Linked DNA regions of Drosophila melanogaster. The protein of the gene in region 3 interacts with the protein of the main gene of each other region in a pairwise test. Each region holds a gene or a part of one and is shown on either strand. Other genes may lie near its edges.

Evidence for each region.
Region 1: the proteins of rb (region 3) and MICAL-like interact in a two-hybrid assay, tested with the Drosophila melanogaster proteins (one large-scale study listed by BioGRID).
Region 2: the proteins of rb (region 3) and borr interact in a two-hybrid assay, tested with the Drosophila melanogaster proteins (one large-scale study listed by BioGRID).

Annotation. Positions count from the first base shown.
Region 1 is NT_037436.4:13,011,476-13,016,856, forward strand, and holds MICAL-like (MICAL-like), read right to left. Parts: upstream 3,858-5,381; 5' UTR 3,663-3,857; coding exon 630-3,662; 3' UTR 501-629; downstream 1-500. Other genes in the region: Cul6 (cullin 6), read right to left, coding at 1-94; CG11267 (uncharacterized protein), read left to right, coding at 4,687-4,689, 4,882-5,043, 5,112-5,258.
Region 2 is NT_033779.5:9,250,972-9,254,819, reverse strand, and holds borr (borealin-related), read left to right. Parts: upstream 1-1,701; 5' UTR 1,702-1,833; coding exon 1,834-2,185; intron 2,186-2,469; coding exon 2,470-2,878; intron 2,879-2,943; coding exon 2,944-3,142; 3' UTR 3,143-3,348; downstream 3,349-3,848. Other genes in the region: lectin-30A, read left to right, coding at 1-660; aust (australin), read left to right, coding at 3,812-3,848. UniProt on the Drosophila melanogaster protein: Component of the chromosomal passenger complex (CPC), a complex that acts as a key regulator of embryonic mitosis.
Region 3 is NC_004354.4:4,533,409-4,543,657, reverse strand, and holds rb (ruby), read left to right. Parts: upstream 1-3,031; 5' UTR 3,032-3,352; coding exon 3,353-3,994; intron 3,995-4,054; coding exon 4,055-4,883; intron 4,884-4,948; coding exon 4,949-6,172; intron 6,173-6,226; coding exon 6,227-7,014; 3' UTR 7,015-8,023; downstream 8,024-10,249. Other genes in the region: CG3568 (uncharacterized protein), read right to left, coding at 1-482, 536-680, 746-955; CHOp24, read right to left, coding at 1,602-1,751, 2,107-2,441, 2,514-2,655; CG3556 (uncharacterized protein), read right to left, coding at 10,072-10,133.

The DNA.
Region 1 (5,381 bases), on a different chromosome or scaffold from region 3:
AATCATCGAAGATCTGATTCACTACTTGCAAAATATTATCGATCAGGGGTAGCATAGAGTCAAAGTAATTAGATATTCTTTTAACCCGATTCATTATTGTTAATGATAGTGTTGCAATTTGAAGTTGGTTTTCTAGGGGAAGTCAATCAGCGTACCGCGATTGTTTGCGCTGTTGTACGATCTTATTACTGATACATTCTATTAATGGGTCTTATCGGTTTAGGGATGTTATAATTTCCAGCGCCTGACATTAACCATTCAACGATTCTTATCGATAGCTCTACGCAAAAACATACTAGCTCCACTAACTAAACATAATAATAATATATCACAGAACCGAAGTAATAATTAAAATGTGTGGGAGCTTTGTGTTTTTTAAGGTTAAGATTTAGAATTTGTAACTGATTAATTCGCTTCTGTTTTATTTTAAAAATTATTATCCCAGAGTTATATAGTAATATGATTCGCATTCGTCGTTCTCAATCCAAAGTTCTGTTGCTAAAGGAAAATATATACTTTATTTATTGAAATGCTCACATATGGCAATAGAAACTTAATAGGTTACAAATTTATATAAAATAAATTTCAATTGTTCGATGCGTAAACACTTCAACTCAACCAGCCCCCAACTACATTTTCAAAAAGAACAAGTTTCGCTTCTTTTTAACCTTTTCCAAAGCTGGTGCCTGTTCGGACTCATCGACGTCCTTGTCGAGGTCCGACTTTTTGCCCTTGCCCAGCTTATTTTCCTCCTTAAGTTTTTTTCGTTCCTTTTTAGACAGCTTTTTGGATGATTTGTCAGCGCTTCTCGGATGTGCTGGTGGTTCCTCGCGCTCAGAATTGTATATATGAAGCCGATTCTTGATGCTCATATCCTCTCGCGCCTCGCGAACTCGGTCAGTCTCTAGGCTATCAATTACTTCGTTACGCATTTCAACCACCTTCACAAGGCGATTGATTAATACTTCCTCATGGGCTTTATCCGAATCGGTTTTGTTGTGCTCCGGTTGCCCCATTAATACTCGTATCTCATGCTCTATGTCCGCCTGCTCCTGCTCCAGGCGATGCTGACGTCGAAGGTACATCAGTTCCGCTTGTCTGCGGAACAATTCGTTTTTCTCGTTGACCAGCTCGAACAGTTGCAATATAAGATCTTCCACTTCCTTTGAGTTGGTTAGCACTTCTGCGGATTCGGGACCATCAGTATCGGTGGCATCTAAGGAACGCTCACAGCGATCCCTGATCATTTTCTCCAGAATAACGCCTTGTTTCTCAAGACCCAGCTGCTGTACCGCAATAATTTCGAACTCGTGGCGAATTTCTTGCAGCGGAAGCCTTTGTAAGACTTTGCGCGGTGGTATTGGAACCGCTGGTGCTGGTCCCTTTCGCCTCTTCCATTTCCCATGAGTGGATTTATTGTGCCCCAATGGGCTTACGTTTCTATCGAAGTCGTTATACACGATAGGCGATTTTTGATCCTCCTTGCTACGTTCAACAGTGTTTTCGGGTTGAGTTGGCGGCACCAAAATGCGTCGGTATACCACATTTACCTCCTCGTCGGCATTGGATGTACTTAAGCTCTCGTCGTAATTACTCGACTCGGTTGCCTCATCGGATAGCAGACTCTGGTCAAGTGGTATTAGTCTTCTGGTTGAATCACCCAGATTTGGGGCCTTAAGCTGAGTGTGCAACAATGCCTTTTGTTCGTCGGACAATTTTGAAAATCCAGGATCACTGTCAAAGTCCGTTTGTATTGGGGGCAAAGGTGCCTGGCGCTTCTTCCGCATCGGAGAGGTAATAGAGCTAAGACTGGTAGTGGGACTCGATTCTTCGCTTCGCAGCGGACTCCCCACTGAGGCGCGAAGTGGCTTGCGAGGCCCATTTGCAGATGGCAAGGAGATGCTTGAGCCACGGTCATCTGCTCCGCGATCGAACGTTCTTATGCTATTCAAATGCTCCGAAGACGAAGAGGAAATACTACTTTTCTGGCCTTGATGCGTCATTGGTTTTGCTGGAGTCTGGGTTTTTGATATAGATATTCTCGGTGTTGGCATCGGCATTTTTTTCCCATGCGAAAGTGTAGGGCTGGAATGTGGTTTCTCTGACGGATTGGAGATGGATGAAAGGCCAATTTTAGGTGGCGGTGGACGGGGCGGTACAACTTTTCCTTTGCTTTGTTGGGCTGGAATGGCTTTAAGAAGCTCCACTTCATCATCAGAGCTGTCGAATGGGTTGGCACCTTTAGATGAGTCATCATCTTTAAAGGGATTTAGATCCTCTGGATAGTCAGTTTCAGATGCTTTTGTCTCAATTACCTTGTCCTTGGGAGACTCGAGATCCATTTGTTTTGGGAGAACACCTTCCTGCTTAGAGCAGCTTTCTGTGTTTGAGAAAATTTTATTTTCTTTACGCGGGCTTATATGGTCTTCTGGTTTAATGGCTACTTGAGTGTTATTTTCAGGAATCGGTGCTTCCTGTGATTCTGGAATGAGTGCGTCTGATGTATTGTTCAAAGCTTCTTGTTTATCTAAATTATCCGGATGTATTGCATCTACAACAAGGCGGTCATCTTCAAGATATATTGAGACCGAAGAAATCTTAAGTTTCTCTTTTGGAATGTCATTTTCCGGACTAACCGCCAGATCATTGTTTTGTTCAACGCCAGCATGTTGTTCATCGTCTAGTGGAAGAGTAGAGACTTTTGGTTTCTCTGGTATAGCGGGCTTTACAGGAGTTGTTGATTTATTATATTGTTCAATAAGGCCACCATCTTCTTCGTCTAGTGGAATAAAAGAGATTTTACGCTCCTCTGATAATATAGGGTTTACCGGATTAATAGTTAGTTCATTATTTTGTTCATCTTTGTTGGACGGCGGTTGGAAGTTTTCAGGCTTATCAGTAGTACGTATATCATTATCTTCCAGGTCTTCTTGTTTATCTTCAGCTTCAGAGTAATCAGAACTTTGTGCCACCATTTGTTTATCATTCGGAGAATCAGTAGTGGTTGTCTTTAACTTTAAAATGTCAGATTCCGGTTCACTTTCTTCATCGGGACAAGTCTCGCAACAGTATATGTTATTGACCTCCGTTTCATAAAAACTCCCGGGTGTGAGCAATGACGAACATCTTGCACATTTTAAGCATGTGCGATGATAAGCCCGTTTGCCGACAAGGACCCTTTCGGCGAGAAAAACAGGAAGGTTGCATTTCTGGCACTTATCACGTCGAGGCATCCCAACAATGTGCATCACCTTTTGCGGTGGCTCACTCTCTTCGCCAAGTGGCTCCTCTGGCTTCGGGTGCTTCAGGCTCTTGCCGAGCACCTTGTAAAACTGGGATAAATACGTTAGTATGGAGAGTCTATCAGGTACTTCATACGAAACCATGTCAGCTGCATCGAGCAGTGCGGGAATTCCCAAATATTTCTCGGCCGTTGTAAAGGCCAAATCGTTGTTCTCATAGATATCGTCTGCTTTAAGTCGGTCGAAATCTATAAGATCCGGCCGAAAGTGGTGTATTATGGCGCAGAAGGCAAGTCCATTTCGCCAGGAAGTGGTCATGTTCTCCACCTTGACCCCATTATATCCTTGGGTCACAACTCGGCACCAATACTCCAAAGCCTTCGTACCAGTTCCAACTTTTGTGCCACGACGATCAGACATTTTAGTGGGTTAATTGCTGGCTTATTGGCGAATATAACTAAACGAAAATAGCAGTCACAAACTGTAAACTAAGTGAACAACAAAAGCACATCGTGCCACTTGACTTGAGTAAAATCAAATAAGATTTATCTGGTACAAATTACATTAAATGTAAACAAGGCAAAACGGTGACTCAAATAAATCTCCCAATCAGATTTAGTGGTGGGAGTGTCAGCAGCTATCGATAGTTGTTTCGTGCTATTTTCCCTTCTTAAAAACAAGATGTTTAGAAAATTCTGAAATTTTTTAATTTTTCTCAGGAATGCCACACTTTTCAATTATTTTGTTGCTTGTCTTTATTGTCTTGCACTTTGCAACAGGGTGTAGTGTGAACAATCCGCTGCCAGAGTCAATCGATTTAAATCGCTAGTATCAATAGCAACTCCTTGGTTTGAACATACCTAATTTCGAGGAAGTAAACAAACAATTCTGTTTTATGTTTATTTTATATTATATTATATTTTAATATTAGTAAATTTGAAAAAATTAAAACACCAGTAAAGCCCAGAAGATTTCTGGGCTTCTGATTTAATTTCTTAAAAAACGATTATTTAGCTCAACAAAGATGAGAACAGAAAATTGCACAACATGTTTATTATAAATTAATGGAAATTAAATTAATATGTTTAAATTGCATATAAAAGGAGTAATTCCTGAAATTGGTATACAAGTTATTATGGAAGTCCACCCACCAGACTCATTTTCATCTTCATGTTTTATAGGAAATCAACTCGGCAATTACTTGGCGAAAAGTTTATTACCATTTTAAAAGTTATACACAACTATTAATTTTTGCATTGACTTCTCTCAGTGTATTCGAACAGAAAAAATTATTTCTCAATGTTATATCCGTGAAATAGCCTGGTCACACCGACGATAAGCAGTCCCGCATCTAGCGAGAATAGTTACGCCGGCACGTGTAGTTGAGTAAAAAGTTCACTCATTAACTTTTATCAACCGCTCCAGTTTGCATTTAAGAATTAAAATGGTAAGTTAAAAGTGCATTGCCCCATATGAGGTTTAGAAGACAGTTTGAAATCGAAGGATGATATCGGTTTTTCGAGAAGGTTCCACGGCTTTCGGTCCACATCCCATTCGCCGGGCTGTTGTGTAATCAATGAGAGAAACATGAAACATTGAAACATGGGTTAATTGTTGGGTCTTTTTTAATGATCCTCAGGCCGCCGCTATCAAGAAGATCATCCCCATGCTGGACCGCATCCTAATCCAGCGTGCCGAGGCGCTGACCAAGACGAAAGGAGGCATTGTTTTGCCGGAGAAAGCGGTGGGCAAAGTACTTGAGGGCACCGTTCTGGCCGTAGGCCCTGGCACCCGTAATGCCGTGAGTATTTCGCCATTATCAATGCAGAGATGGTCATCTAATCACTGAACATCCCACTTCATCCGCAGTCCACTGGCAACCACATTCCCATTGGCGTGAAGGAGGGCGATCGTGTTCTGCTGCCCGAATTCGGTGGCACCAAGGTGAACCTAGAGGGTGACCAGAAGGAGCTGTTCCTCTTCCGCGAGTCCGACATCCTGGCCAAATTGGAGTAGATCTCGCCTCCGGACACTGTCTCACAATTCTATGAATTCTATGCTTTTTATTAGTATGTAACACACCCACAAACCCGAAACTAAAAACTACAATAAAAGCTCATGCAATATTTTTGTTTGCAT
Region 2 (3,848 bases), on a different chromosome or scaffold from region 3:
TGTTTTATATGCGTCATTCTAGCCTGGGCTTCTCGTGATGTTCTCGCTAACAAAACGGAAAATCCGCTGCTAATTGATCAAGTGGCTATAAATCAACAACAATGGTTCACATTCATTGCGCTGAAGGAAAGTGAAATGCAACAGAAAATAGTGAGGATCGAAAGATCGATAGAAGAACGATTGATGGCCATGCAAAGCAAGTTGGCATACGCACTGAACGAGCTGCAGACCATAATGGGCAACCAGAGTGTGGAGACTCTCGAGAAACTACGAATCTCGCACAGGATTAATCCGGCGCTTTTCCAGAGAATGGGCACAAGACGCTTCTACATTGAGAAGGAAAACAAACAAAATTGGTTTGGCGCCTCAAACACCTGTCGTCAATTGGGCGGTCACATTGCCACCATCAGGGATGAGCAGGAGTTTAATGAGATCTTCTCAAGAGCGCCGGCCGGCGTCTTTTGGATAGATATGAATGCTATGTTCAAGAACGGCCTTTTTGCATCATCACTCACCGGCAGATCGCCGCCGTTCTTTAAGTGGAAGAAAGAAGAAAGGGGCAATAAGTTCGATTGCGTTAATGTATACAACAAGGAAATGTACAATGAAAATTGTTTCAACACCCATTTGTTCATATGTCAAGCCGAGCAGTGGGATTGATGCGAATGCGAAAATAATAAATTAAGTTATTTTCATTTTGCATCTCGGCAATTTACCGACAGCTTTTAATAAAGTTATGAGCCTACTGTCTTTTTTATTTTACTAGCCCAAAAATGAAGTACATAACTGTTTTCTCAGCCAAGAGGATCATTAAGATTATTGGGTAATGAAAATTAAAATATTTTCCCTTAAGTACAAAACCAGGCCAATCCATATGGGGTTTCCATCAAGTGCCCAGAAAGCGGTGCTTGGTATTTCAAAATGCCTTACACACATGACGTGTCCACGTTCTGTGCAGAAATAAGGGCGGCCAGTGCCACGCCCCTCCACAAGGAAGCCACCCAAATGGTGACAAAAATGCTTTTGATTTGTGGGCCATTCGCACACCCATAGCCACCCACGCTTATTAGAATCCTGCCATTGTGGCAGCCAAAGTGCAACTAGCAGAGACAGATAGCAAACATCCAACAATGTGGAGCAGAGCGCAATTTATGACCAGGGGCGAGATTTCGAAACGGACTAATAGGATTGCGGCTCCAATTTTTGGGGCTTTTCATTTCAGATACCTCCGCACATACGATGCAAAATTATATCTCGAGTTTTCACTTACGTTATTATACGCTCTAGTGTGCAAGTCTTTAGTTTTTCCAATTATTACTATTCAATAATACTAATATACCAATATTGTATTTTGTTATAATAATAAGATGCTATTACCGTTACATTATTAACAAATGGGTAGTTGGAATTCCCCTTTCAAAAATAAAGATATAAAAAAAATCGATCTCTATGTTGTAGGGAACTAGTTCATTGAGATTAGTTGCAGAACTCATTGGAATTATTCAAAACTCATTATTCAAAATATAGATAAATAAATATAGAAGATATATACTTAAATGTGTTATTTTGGAGTGACTTCAGTTAAGTTCGAATTATTTAATTGAATTTACCGCGCATTAGTGTTACCATTTTACACTTACACCATCAAAATATTTCTAGTATTTTCAATCGGTCGTGAACTGGGCAATGAAAAGCCATCTGGCAACACTGTTCCATGACGCTTGAATTTTAGCGGACAAACTCGAAAAGAAATAGCAAAAAGACGACGCTTGCTACGAAAATAGTTATTCCTCGCAAAAACCCTGTAACGTGTAAACAAAGGCCGCTGCCACGATGCCGCGCACCAAGATACCAAAGAACTCCAAACGCAACCGCGAGGTGGCCAATCGCGAAGAGAAGGTGCGCCTGTACGAGCTGAAAATGGATTCCCGCCTTATCAGCATCGATTCGCTGGAGACCAAGTTCCTCTCCGCCGTGGACCACCAGGTGAAGACACTGCTCGGCCAGGTGCAGAAGGAGCTGGCCAATCTGAAGATGCCCGAAGTGCTGCGCCTCTTCGAGGAACTGGACCGCTTCAGCGACTTCAAGGCCAGCGATCAGACGCAGCTGCTCGCCTCGATGTCCATGAGTGGCAGCGCCATCGAGGGCCACGCCCCCTCCGCCACTGGAAGTCGCAATGACGAAGGTTTGTTGGCCTATATATGTATGCTGTTATACCAATCTGCTGGCAAGGATGTCATCACCCGAATTACAAATGAATACCGGTTTTACATGCCAAATTGGCAAATTCCATTGTATATTCGGTATTCATCATACCCTCTTGTTGCCATTTTCACTTTTAATTTTAATCTAACTGGTGTCCGGCTTTGTGACTAACTCAACTTTGCTTTCTAACTCCGCACCGCACATTTCAATGCACGCAAAATGCATATACCCACATCCACATCCTGTGCCGGTCACTGTATCTAGGCTACCTTACAGAGGACAGCAGCATCGGTGCCAGCGGTGGGAGCATCCTGGCCGCCCACACAGGCTCCCTGCTGCGGTCCACGAAGGCCATGCGCACACCCGGACCACTGCACTCGGCGAGGGCTCGTCGAGCGCGGCGCAGTCGTTCCGCCTGCGGGGATCTCAACATATTGCACTCGGCCAAACCGCCGTCAATTTCGAGCAGCAGCAGCAGCAGCCGCAATTCGCGCAGCAAACTGCGCACACCGATGGCCTCGCGTGCGAAGGCCTTCAGTGCCGACCGCACTCCTTTGAAACAGAAGCAAATGCGCTCCGGATCGCCAACTACACCGCCGATGGCATTCCTGCGCTATCCCAAGCCCGGCGAGGTGGCACTATCCAAATACGGCAGTCCCATGGTGGCTCAAGTGTAAGTATTGATCACATACTACGTGTCGATACCAATTTGTTAAAACCATTTTTCCCACACGATAGAATGCCAGACAAGTTCGCCAATGTGAACATACCCATTCGGAACGGAGTTCTTAGCTTGCGGCCCAAAAAACTGGATGCCGACGAGGTGGAGTCAAATCTGTTGGAGAACCTGGACGAGGACACCCTTAACCAGATCAAAACGCTGCACGAGAACTTGCAGATGATTGTTAATAAGGCCAGCCAGGCGGTGTTCAAGTAGCTGTCATTTCAAACGCTTATCTAGATATAATGCTATATCATATATTTTAATACGTTTCGTTTAAGTTCAGTTTTCATTTTACTCATTTAGTTCAAGTATTTTGTCTTTATTCATAAAAATCTATCGTATTTGCATAAGTTTCAATACATGTTCATATCCAAGTGTACGGCGATTTAAATGTAATGTTTTAAATACATGCTTAATCCAAAAAAAAAAAAATGAAGCGTTCCATGATGATTACTCGCCTTCAAGCAAAACGACGGAGAATCGAAAGAGATGAGAAAGTGAGAATCCAATTTAATTCTGCAATGGATAAAGTCGATGAGATGGCCAAGTTGTTCAAGCAGGATGTGGACAACAAATTGGGTTTGCTTCAAGCCAGGACTGATGCTCGTTTGCTGCAGATGAAATGGTCGGATTTCATGGCTCTAGCAAAAACTGCTACCTTCAAATAACATCTTTCTTTTGCTAATTGCAAAAGAGGCAACCGCTTTTAAGTTCCCAGATTTCAGAAAGTGGCCAATAAAATTATGTTATGTTAAAAATGTTTAAAATGTATTTTCGCACGTTGATATGAATACAGTTTTGAATCGCTTGTTCACCAAAGAGCCCTTTGACTTTGTTAGAATTAGGCGATTAGTTGACTGGAATATATAAATCGTTAGAAATATGCCTCGCACCAAGATTACAGCTCGTCGTCAGGCCC
Region 3 (10,249 bases):
GCGCAAATCTGATGCAGGTGTGACCGTCTCGCTGGATATCTGTTCCAAATCGAAACCGTAGCCATTGGCCTCAGTATTTTGGGTTTTAGTAATCATGATATCCTGGTACTCCATCACATCGGGACGCTCGAAACGAGCTCCAATTAGTCCAATCACAACGCCCTCCCGTTCGATAGTGTCCTTATTCTGCAGCACCTCACCCCCATTGACCCTACTGCCATTGTTAATGAACTCCGAGTGGCAGGACACGTAGAGCAGGGCGGACAGCTTGATCTCGTCGTAGCTGAGCACCGAGGTCAAAGTGAGGGGTTCCTTTTCGGCGGGCGTACCCACTGCCTCGAAGCCCTCGTTACCAATATTTCCCTGCATTGTACGGTAATAGTCGTTAGCGCCAAAGAACCACACACATCTCTTCGCCAGCAGGCGCTGCACAAGGTCAACCACAGTCATGTCCTTGTAGATGGCCTTCTCCTGCTCGCTGCCTGTAAAACGATGACCAGAAAATATAAATTCTTTCGATTGTGATTGTACCCACCGAACGTGAGCTTGTGCTCTAAGAAGCTGATAAAGAGTAGGAGGGTCCGTTCGTGAATCACCGGATAGGCGGATGCGATTTGTTCCCGTATGCGGTCACTTCGATCTTCCGGCTGTGCCTTCACTCGGCAGGAATCGATGCCAAACTAATGTGGGGGGATTATATCAATGTCAGAAGACAATTTTGCGAAACCAATTCCAATGAGTATACCTCGGCGGGAGACTGCTCCGAAATAGCTTTGAAATTATCGAGATCCACCGAAGCGTCCGGCTTTGCCATTTGGCCACATTCTTGAAGCATCCGCTGAGTGAAAGCATTTTCCGGCAGATTTGTACGTTTACCAGGCCATATGATAATAGATTTTCCGCACAAACATGCCAATTTGGGACGTTGGGAGAGCATATAAAGAAAAGATCTCATCGCACTTTTTGGAGTCACTTTTAGGAGTCCGGACAAAAAAGTTCGCCGCTGATAGGAATATATGTCAACTGTCACTGGACGATCCAGTGCTGCACACCGACGTCAGATTTAATAACTTATTTCCACTGTCACATTAACTACCCAACACTCAAAAAGATTTGAAACGAATTTAATATAGCTTCTGAAAAGTTGTTTTATTTCCATTCAGATATTTCGAAATTATTATAGAATCCATTTCCATTTCGAAGTTGCAAACAAACTTTTCTCTTGTCAACCTACATTTATTAGAAAACAAATGGTTCTTATCAATTTAGTTCGAAAGTTCACAAGTGTCTCTTCCCCCCTTGAATGTGTGTCTGAAAATATTTGCTGTTCTGTTTCCATTAAGAGATATTTGGTAATTAAAAAAAAATATATATATTAATTTCTCTAATATAGCAATCTCTGTTAATAATTCTCGAAACAGAAACATGATCGACATACTTTCAAGCACTAATTACTTTTTACAAGGTATTTTATTTAAATTACAAAAGGATGTTAATCATTTAAATTAAATCTGAGACTGCAACGCATTGCGCACACATTTCCCCCAGAGCTTCGTGTGCCGCCTTCCTTTGCTACTTCCATCCTGGTTTTCCGCTCGGGATTACACGACGCGCTTGACCTCGAAGAAGCGTTTCAGGTAGTACACCTGGCCCACTGTCATCAGGACCAGGACGAGGGCTTCGAAGGTGGACCACAGCACCACTCGCGAGTTGGTGTTCTCGTTCACCGAACGATGGATCTTGTCGCGCACCTGAGGGAGTAAAGAAATTGGAGGATTAGTCGTGGATTACTTCACAAATAATGTCAATACTGATTATAACCGATGGTGAAAACATGAGTGTTTGAAAATCGCTACTAGTTATTGTTTATGTGGCAGCTAGCAGCTCCATTCCCTCGAACAAGTCTACCGACTCCGCTCTTAAATCTTGCGACGTGGATCTGTACAAGTAATGCTGGAGGCATGCCAGACTATGTGGCAATAGTTACTCGATTGCTCCCATATTCCATGTACCCCTAATTCTGCTACATGTTAAACTCTTCCAAAACCCCCAATCATGATTATGTGGCAGCTGGATGCTCCATCTTCACCTCGTCTCTTCACTCACATGCATGTACTCCTGTTCGTGCTTGACACTGGTCAGCGTGCCGGAGAGCTCCCGAATCATGTCCTCCAGCTTGGTGTGGCCCACCTCCTCCTCGCCGGGTGCTCCGGGCGCACGTTGCGGTGCGTCACCCACGTCGATGGAGAACATGACCAGCTTGGGGGTCATGCTGCTGCGTTCGTTGTTGAAGCACACGGTGTAGGTTCCCTTGGCGGGGGCCACAAAGGTGTACTTGCCGGACGACTCCTTTTCGCTCTCGTGCATCACATGGTTATCCGGGCCGCTGATCTTGATGTCCACGTCTAGGAAGCCACCGTCGATCACCTCGAAGGTGACGCCTGTAAAGTCACCATCATTTTATCAGCATAGATCCCTTGTCAATTGACCGAAAATCCATATCGCTCACGTACCAAACTTGGTGCCGCCTTCGACGTTCTCGAAGAAGCACTCCTCATTGTGGGCGTCCACGCTGACGATGAAGGCGTGGCTGGTGCGGCACAGGATCAGCAGGCTGCCCACAAGGAGCAGCACCTTGGCGAGTGTCGATTCCATCGTTTGTCTTAGTACTTTTGGCCTGGTTTTAATCGCTATTAAACGCACTGCAGCCACGTAGTTGTAGTCGATTCGATATACTCCGATAGATGTAGACAAATAGGGCATATCGAAGAACAGCAGTTTCCGATAGATTCGGCATCGATAGGTGCACGCGACACGCGATACCGAATTTTTAACGGATCACTACAAAAAACTCACAACTCATAAAAATTCAAAAGCAACATGAATGCCGCGAAATGTTTCGGTTAAAGTATTGGATATCGTAACTAATACATTACTTTATTTATGTGCGTACCTATATGAAAAACTCTTGGTGCATTCCATCACAGTTAGTTAAAGTGTTCTAGTATTTTTGTGCTATGTGTTAATCGGCGACTATCGACAGTTGCCCACCATTAGGAAACAGAAAGCTAAAAAAAAAAATGCAAAAATTGGCCAGAATTTCGGCATAAATAATAGTATCCCTTGCAAAACTTGCAAGCTGCGTGGCAGGACGAGCAGCTGACCACCAGATCGTCTTGAGGATTCAACATCAGGAACAAAGGTTTCACATTGGACGCATTTGCAAAAACCGAAAGGGAAAACTGCCAACTCCCACACACAAAAAAAAAGGAAAAAAAAAATCATCAGCACGGAAAGTAAAAGGTCAAGTGGTCAACCGAAATCTGGGTAATCCGGGGGAATCTTTGCAAGAATGCAGCAGAACTCGGCCAGCAATCCCTTCGCCATGTCCACATATGTGGAGCGGCCCCAAATGGGACTGGACGTCGAATTCGGAGCGGATCCTGCCAGCGGAGCAGCTTTCTTCCAATCCGATGGACGCAAGCATGATGATCTCAAGCAAATGTTGGACAGCAACAAGGATGGACTAAAGCTGGAGGCCATGAAGCGCATCATTGGCATGATTGCCCGCGGACGGGATGCCAGTGATCTGTTCCCGGCAGTCGTCAAGAATGTGGTGTCCAAGAATATCGAGGTCAAGAAGTTGGTCTACGTCTATTTGGTGCGATACGCCGAGGAGCAGCAGGACTTGGCCCTGCTATCCATTTCCACATTTCAGAGGGCGCTCAAGGATCCCAATCAACTTATTCGCGCCTCGGCTCTGCGAGTGTTATCCTCCATAAGGGTCAGCATGATTGTGCCAATCGTAATGCTGGCCATTCGGGATAGCGCCGCCGATTTGAGTCCATATGTGCGGAAAACAGCGGCACATGCCATCCCCAAGTTGTATTCTCTGGACGCGGATCAAAAGGATGAACTGGTCATGGTCATTGAGAAGCTTTTATCGGATCGCACTACTCTAGTGGTGGGATCAGCGGTGATGGCCTTCGACGAGGTGGGTCTGCAGCTAAAGTAAAACATTTATCCTCTATATACGACGGATCTTTATTCGTAGGTTTGTCCGGAACGTGTAGATTTGATACACAAGAACTACCGCAAGCTGTGCAATTTCCTGCTGGATGTGGACGAATGGGGTCAGGTGATCATCATTAATATGTTGACCCGCTATGCGCGCACTCAGTTCGTTGATCCCAATGCGGATGATGAGGATCTGGTCAACGATGGCCTGGGCGAAACGCCCGTTAGTGAACGCTTCTACGACGAATCCTCGCACTCCTCTTCCCACAGCGATGATGGCAGTAGCGATGACGAAAAAAACAAGTCGAGTACGAACAATAAAAACAATGGCGGAGGAAATGGCAGTAGAACACCCAGTTCTCCGAGCAACAGCTACCACATCGATGTGGATCACCGCCTGCTGTTGAGGCAAACGAAACCATTGCTCCAATCGCGAAATGCCTCCGTGGTGATGGCAGTGGCGCAGCTCTATCATCATGTGGCTCCCAAGAACGAAGTGCAATTGATTGCCAAGGCGCTGATACGACTGCTGCGATCGCATAAGGAGGTTCAGAGCGTGGTCCTCAATTGCATTGCCTCGATGTCCACCAAACGAAAGGCGATCTTTGAGCCGCACCTCAAGTCGTTCTTTGTGCGCACCAGCGATCCCACGCACATAAAGCTTCTCAAGCTGGATATTCTCACCAATCTGGCCTCGGCGGGCAGTATTTCGCTCATTCTGCGCGAATTTCAAACCTACATCTCCAGCAGCGATCGTTCGTTTGTGGCGGCCACGATTCAGGCCATTGGACGATGTGCATCTAGCATTAAGGAGGTTACCGAGACCTGCTTGAGTGGCCTGGTTCATCTGCTGTCCAATCATGACGGTGCGTTAAGCTTTCTTTTAGCCATTTGTATTTTAATTTTATAAGTATTCCGTTATTCCATTTAGAACACGTGGTGGCCGAGAGCGTGGTGGTGATTAAGCGTCTTCTGCAAACGAAAGCCGCCGAGCACTTTGAGATTATCACCCAAATGGCCAAACTGATCGATTATATCAATGTGCCCGCAGCTAGGGCAGCCATCATTTGGCTTATAGGCGAATACAACGAGAAGGTGCCGCTGATTGCCCCGGATGTGCTGCGCAAAATGGCCAAATCGTTTGTCGATGAGCAGGATGTGGTGAAGCTGCAGGTCCTAAACTTAGGCGTTAAGCTCTATCTGACCAATCCGGAGCAGACATCGTTGCTGTGTCAGTACGTCTTTACGCTGGCTCGCTATGATCCCAACTACGATGTACGCGATCGTGCCCGTTTTCTGCGGCAAATCATCTTTCCGGCGAGCGGAACGAGCTCGGTGCTCAGCCAGCATGCCCGCCAAGTATTTCTCGCCAGCAAACCGGCTCCGGTGCCGGAGAGTAAATACCGGGATGGCAATAACTTCCAGTTAGGATCGTTGTCTCACTACCTGAACATGCCAGCGGCTGGCTACAAGGAACTGCCCGCCTTTCCGGTGATTCCACCGGATTCATCGGTACGCAATATAGCTGGATTTATGCAGGACAAGCTGCCGGGTGAAGACTCGCCATCCGGACATTCAAAGGATAAATCCGGCCGTGAAGGCGGTAAGGAAAAGGGTGCTGGTGGCGAGAAGGGCTTCCTCTCTGAGTCGGACGACAAGTCTTCCGCTTACTCGGAATCAGGCAGCAGCAGTGGCAGTGGCACCAGCGACAGTGAATCCGATAGCGATGGCAGCGGGAGCAGCGATGAGGAGGAGGAGGAGGTGCAAAAGCAGCAGCCGACCAAGGTTTCCTCGGTGAAGGAGCGGCTTATCGATGCTGGAAGCAATGAGCTGGCCGCTACTTCTTCGCCTGTAAAAGCAACTATAAACAACAATAACAATGCGAGAGGTTCGTCAGGAACATCGGACAGCGAGGATTCATCAGCGTACAGTGGCAGTAGTAGTGATGACAGCGCTTCCGGTAGCGATAATGAAGTGAAAAAGAACGAAACGAAAACGGACACAGGCACAAAGCCGGAGAAGTTGAAAGAGAAGCACGAGAAACAGCCGGAGCAAACGGCTGTCAAGAGCAATCTGGACCTGCTACTCGATCTGGATGACATTCCGCCCATTGGTCCCGTGATGACGCCCTCGTTGGGAGGATTCCTGACGCCTGGTAAGGTGATGCGCATCTCTAAATTGGCCTCTTTATATAATAATTCTTCAATAGGCACACCAATGATGGCTGGACAGGCGGCGCCACTGCAGCCGCAGCACGCCCGCAATCGGGTGGAATTGGTGGGTCCCTCGCACATCGAGTTCAAGCACAAGGAGCTGCTTAACAAGGTCAGTGGCCATGGACTGCATTTGGCCTACCGTTTCACCCGCTCCCCGCATCTGTACTCCTCGAGCATGTGCTCCATTGAGCTGCAGTTCCAGAATCGTGGCGAAAAAGAGATTACGGCCATTCGTCTCGGGCAAACAACTCTGCCGGCGGGCATGCAATTGAATGAGTTTGCGCCAATCACTGTTCTCCAGCCCCAACAAACAGCGAGTGGTGTGCTGGGCGTCGATTTCAATGATTCGACGCATGCTGTAGACCTGGAGCTTCTGTCAAGTGCGGGCAGTTCACGACTGCAATTGAAACCGCCGGTGGGCGAGCTGGTGAGATCCGTCCAGATCGGCGAGAGCTGTCATCGCGAGGAGCGGGCCAAGCTGCGTGGAATGAATGAGCATCAGTGCGAGTTGCGTGGCCTGAGGCAGGACCTAATCGATGTGGTCGCATTGCGGCAAAAGGTTTTCGAGTCCATCAACGTGGCGCATACGCACAGCTCTTCCAGCGGTCAGCTACACTGTTTCGCCGGCCAAACCCTGAGCTCCAAAAGCCTCGTGCTACTCACCCTCGATTGGAAAACAGAGGATGCCCTCACGCTGCTGGTAAACTGCGAGAAAATGGTCATTGGATCCATGGTGCTCAACGAGCTGCGCAATGCTCTGCAGCTCAGTTTCGCCATGTGAGCGATGGACACGAAAGCGAACAAGACGAAAGCGAGCAGCGAACTAACTTGAGGAGTGGAATCCCCTGGAGCAGGGCTACTCAACTGAGAATAAGGCAAAGCCGCCTCACTACGTAAACATAGCATTCATATTTAGCTATACACTTGTAAACGGGCGGGGAGAACGTAATCTTTGAAATTAGCTGATAACATTAGCTGAGATTACAGGTGTTTTAAATTCCATTTTCGAGAGATTATATGTAAATGTGCAGTGTAACAGATGCAACTTAAGTGTTCAAGTGGGATCGAAATCCAAAACTAATTTAAATTGCAATTTCAACTGTAATTATTACATATTCTTTAACTTGTTGAAAACTGAATGAAAAGTGATGCAAACTATTGTGTAAATGCTACAAAACTATATTTATTGTTATACACATTCGCAAATTCTTAATGAAACTTATTGAAATGGGAAACACACAACTTCCTATATATTTGTATCCGCTTATACTGAGATATTTTGCATAAAAGAGTCACCATTTCCTTTTATGAATGGATGAACACAACATGAGATTAGTGTAGCTTTCATATCCAAATCGAAAATTATTCAAGGATTACCAACCGCCCCGCCCAAATATAAATGAAACATGATCCTAACGCTTTTAATATTCCTATATACAAACTGCAACCACAAACAATTCCAGATGAAATGAGATGTTACAATTGATTGAACTCGAATCGTTGCCGATCCAAACAAATCCTATCCTCCAATCCATCCTACTTAGCTAGGCGTGTGTGTAATGTGTGTATGAGTAATCGAAACGTATTTGTAAAGTGTTTGATGTTGTAAATCTGTTGCCTTCGTGCTCTATGCGGCCTTCTTCAAAACGTAGCAAAGACAAACGAATATCGAATCTATATATTATATATTATATTCATACAATAAACAGCGCAAATTCTGGCAAATTAAAGTGAACAAATGAAACGTATTCTAATAAAGAAACAAATCAATCTGTTAATATGCCTGAAACAAATAAGCTGAATCTCCGCATTGAAAAGCTGAAATAAAAGCTTACATTTTAAAATTGAGAACGTCTTACCTGTTTTGGATAAACGAATCAAGTTTAATACACGCTCGCACATGTCAAGTAAAAATGCTTTTTTCAAAAGTTTTCAATTATTTTGATGTTTATTCACGCTTGTTCTTGTTACTTTCTCCACTCACCAAACAGAATATAAGAAGTCAGCAAGGACAAACTTTCAAATGCAAAAGAATCGAATCGAATTCTAATTAGTTCAATTCCTTAAAATTCGAGTTGATTTCTGCATTTATGTATCAATTTCCTGCTGCTGTCGCTTGAAAGTCGGGATTGCTTCAAAATAGCTCCGTGGGAAATTATAGAAGGAGGTTGGACATACTGACATGCTGGGTTATAGAACATACATAACTCATTCCTCAAATCCTACGCTGCTTTCTCCAAATCCAACTGTGTTTTAGGTGTCGGTGTCGGTGTAGTTGTAGCTGTATTTCCTTGTGTTCTAATTTGGGTTCTGCACAATTAAAAAGCTCAATTTCATGCTTATCAATATAAACGAGTTAGTTAGATCGCTAGGTTAGTAATGTTTAGTTTAGTTTTGGATTCGCTGCTGCACTTAAAGATCTCAAGTAGTAGTTTTAGTAGTTGTAGTTTTCGGTTAGGCTAGGCTTTAAGATCAACGGCTTGAAAGTTCCGAGTGATAAGTGAAGAAATATAGGGTTTTGGGGATGCTATATAATGTATGATTAGGGGATAGATAGCATGTATGTATGTACGAATAGTACGAGTATGTACGTATGCATTAATGTAATTTTTGGGTAATATGGCATGGGTATATGTATGCTGTAATAATGGGTTGTGAGTAGTTCTTGACAGGCATATAGTAGAGCGTTTGTATATAGTGTCCTGGGGTAGTATCGTTCTCTTCTCGTTTTCGCTATTCTGTATACACGTTATATAATATGCCACGGCCTTCGTTCGCTTAACTTCATATAAAACTAGTTTTTTTTTTACCATTTTTTTTTTGTTTTGTTTAGTTTTCTTTCTTTTAAATGTATATGCAAGATGTATATATCGATTTATGCAGTATGTGTGTATGTCTAAGGATGATTTTCAATCACTTATTGTTACGTACGGTGTTTGGTATAACATGCTTCGCTTGGACTAGCCCGATGGCCTCTTTCTCCACCTCTCCCGTTTTGTCTACCTTCAGATTTATTAGATCCGGCGGATCGTTCAAATCGTTCTTTCCTTCCCTACTCTCTAACTTCAATAACATATAAAGCATTGGTTTGGTTTTGGTTTTCATCTTTGGGTGTCTTAAATGGGCAACGAAATAGTTATCGCTTATCGCACAAACGATATTTTCGATTATGGCTCGATTACCGAGACTATATAATCGATAAGCATCGATAGCTGCGAAGCGAAGCATTGAGAGGGCCTAAAACGGACGGATTGCTACCGTTAGTCAACGGCTAACCGTTCGATGCCTGTTGTTAGTGCATTTAAGTCGTTAAGTTTTTGTTTTTATCACTCTCTCTTCCTTTTTGTTTGTTATCGTTTTTTTTTTGTTTTTTAATTATCGTTATCGTTATGCATAAGTATTAGCCTGAGGTGCTCCGAATCGAGATCAGTTGTGAGGTCTAGAGCAATTAACTATTATGGTGTTATATCCTAGTTATCCCTTGGAAATCTGGGCTTCCACAGTTTACCTCCTTTCACCGATCTTTCACTCTTTCTTGTGATTTTCTGTGTATTGTTTTGGGTGTTCTTTTTTCCTTTTTTTTTGTTTTGCTTTGTTTTTTTTTTTTGATTACGCCATTATTATGCAGTTATATATGCACTTACTCAGGAATAGCTGTACTGTGTAGCATACAGCTATTCCTGTGCGAGTGTAAGTGCCTTTTTGCTTGTTGCGTGTGTGTTGTGTGTGTGTGAGACGTGACTATGGCCATATATATAATAAATATAGTCCAATAGCACCGGGTATTTATCGACTTTGCTTAGTGGGTTAAACTGCAGCTCCGTCTAAGGCCGCGTGCTTAGAGCTTCTTGTACCAGTAAAGATAATGCTCCCCATCCTCGACCATTAGCTCGTCCACACCTGCAAGAGTTCGCATCGAAATTACCGCCAGTTGGGGGGGAAGCACCATTAATTACAGTGAAACCTCTCTGACTCTATACATGAATATCTGAATGAATTGTTAACGAATCTCTAAA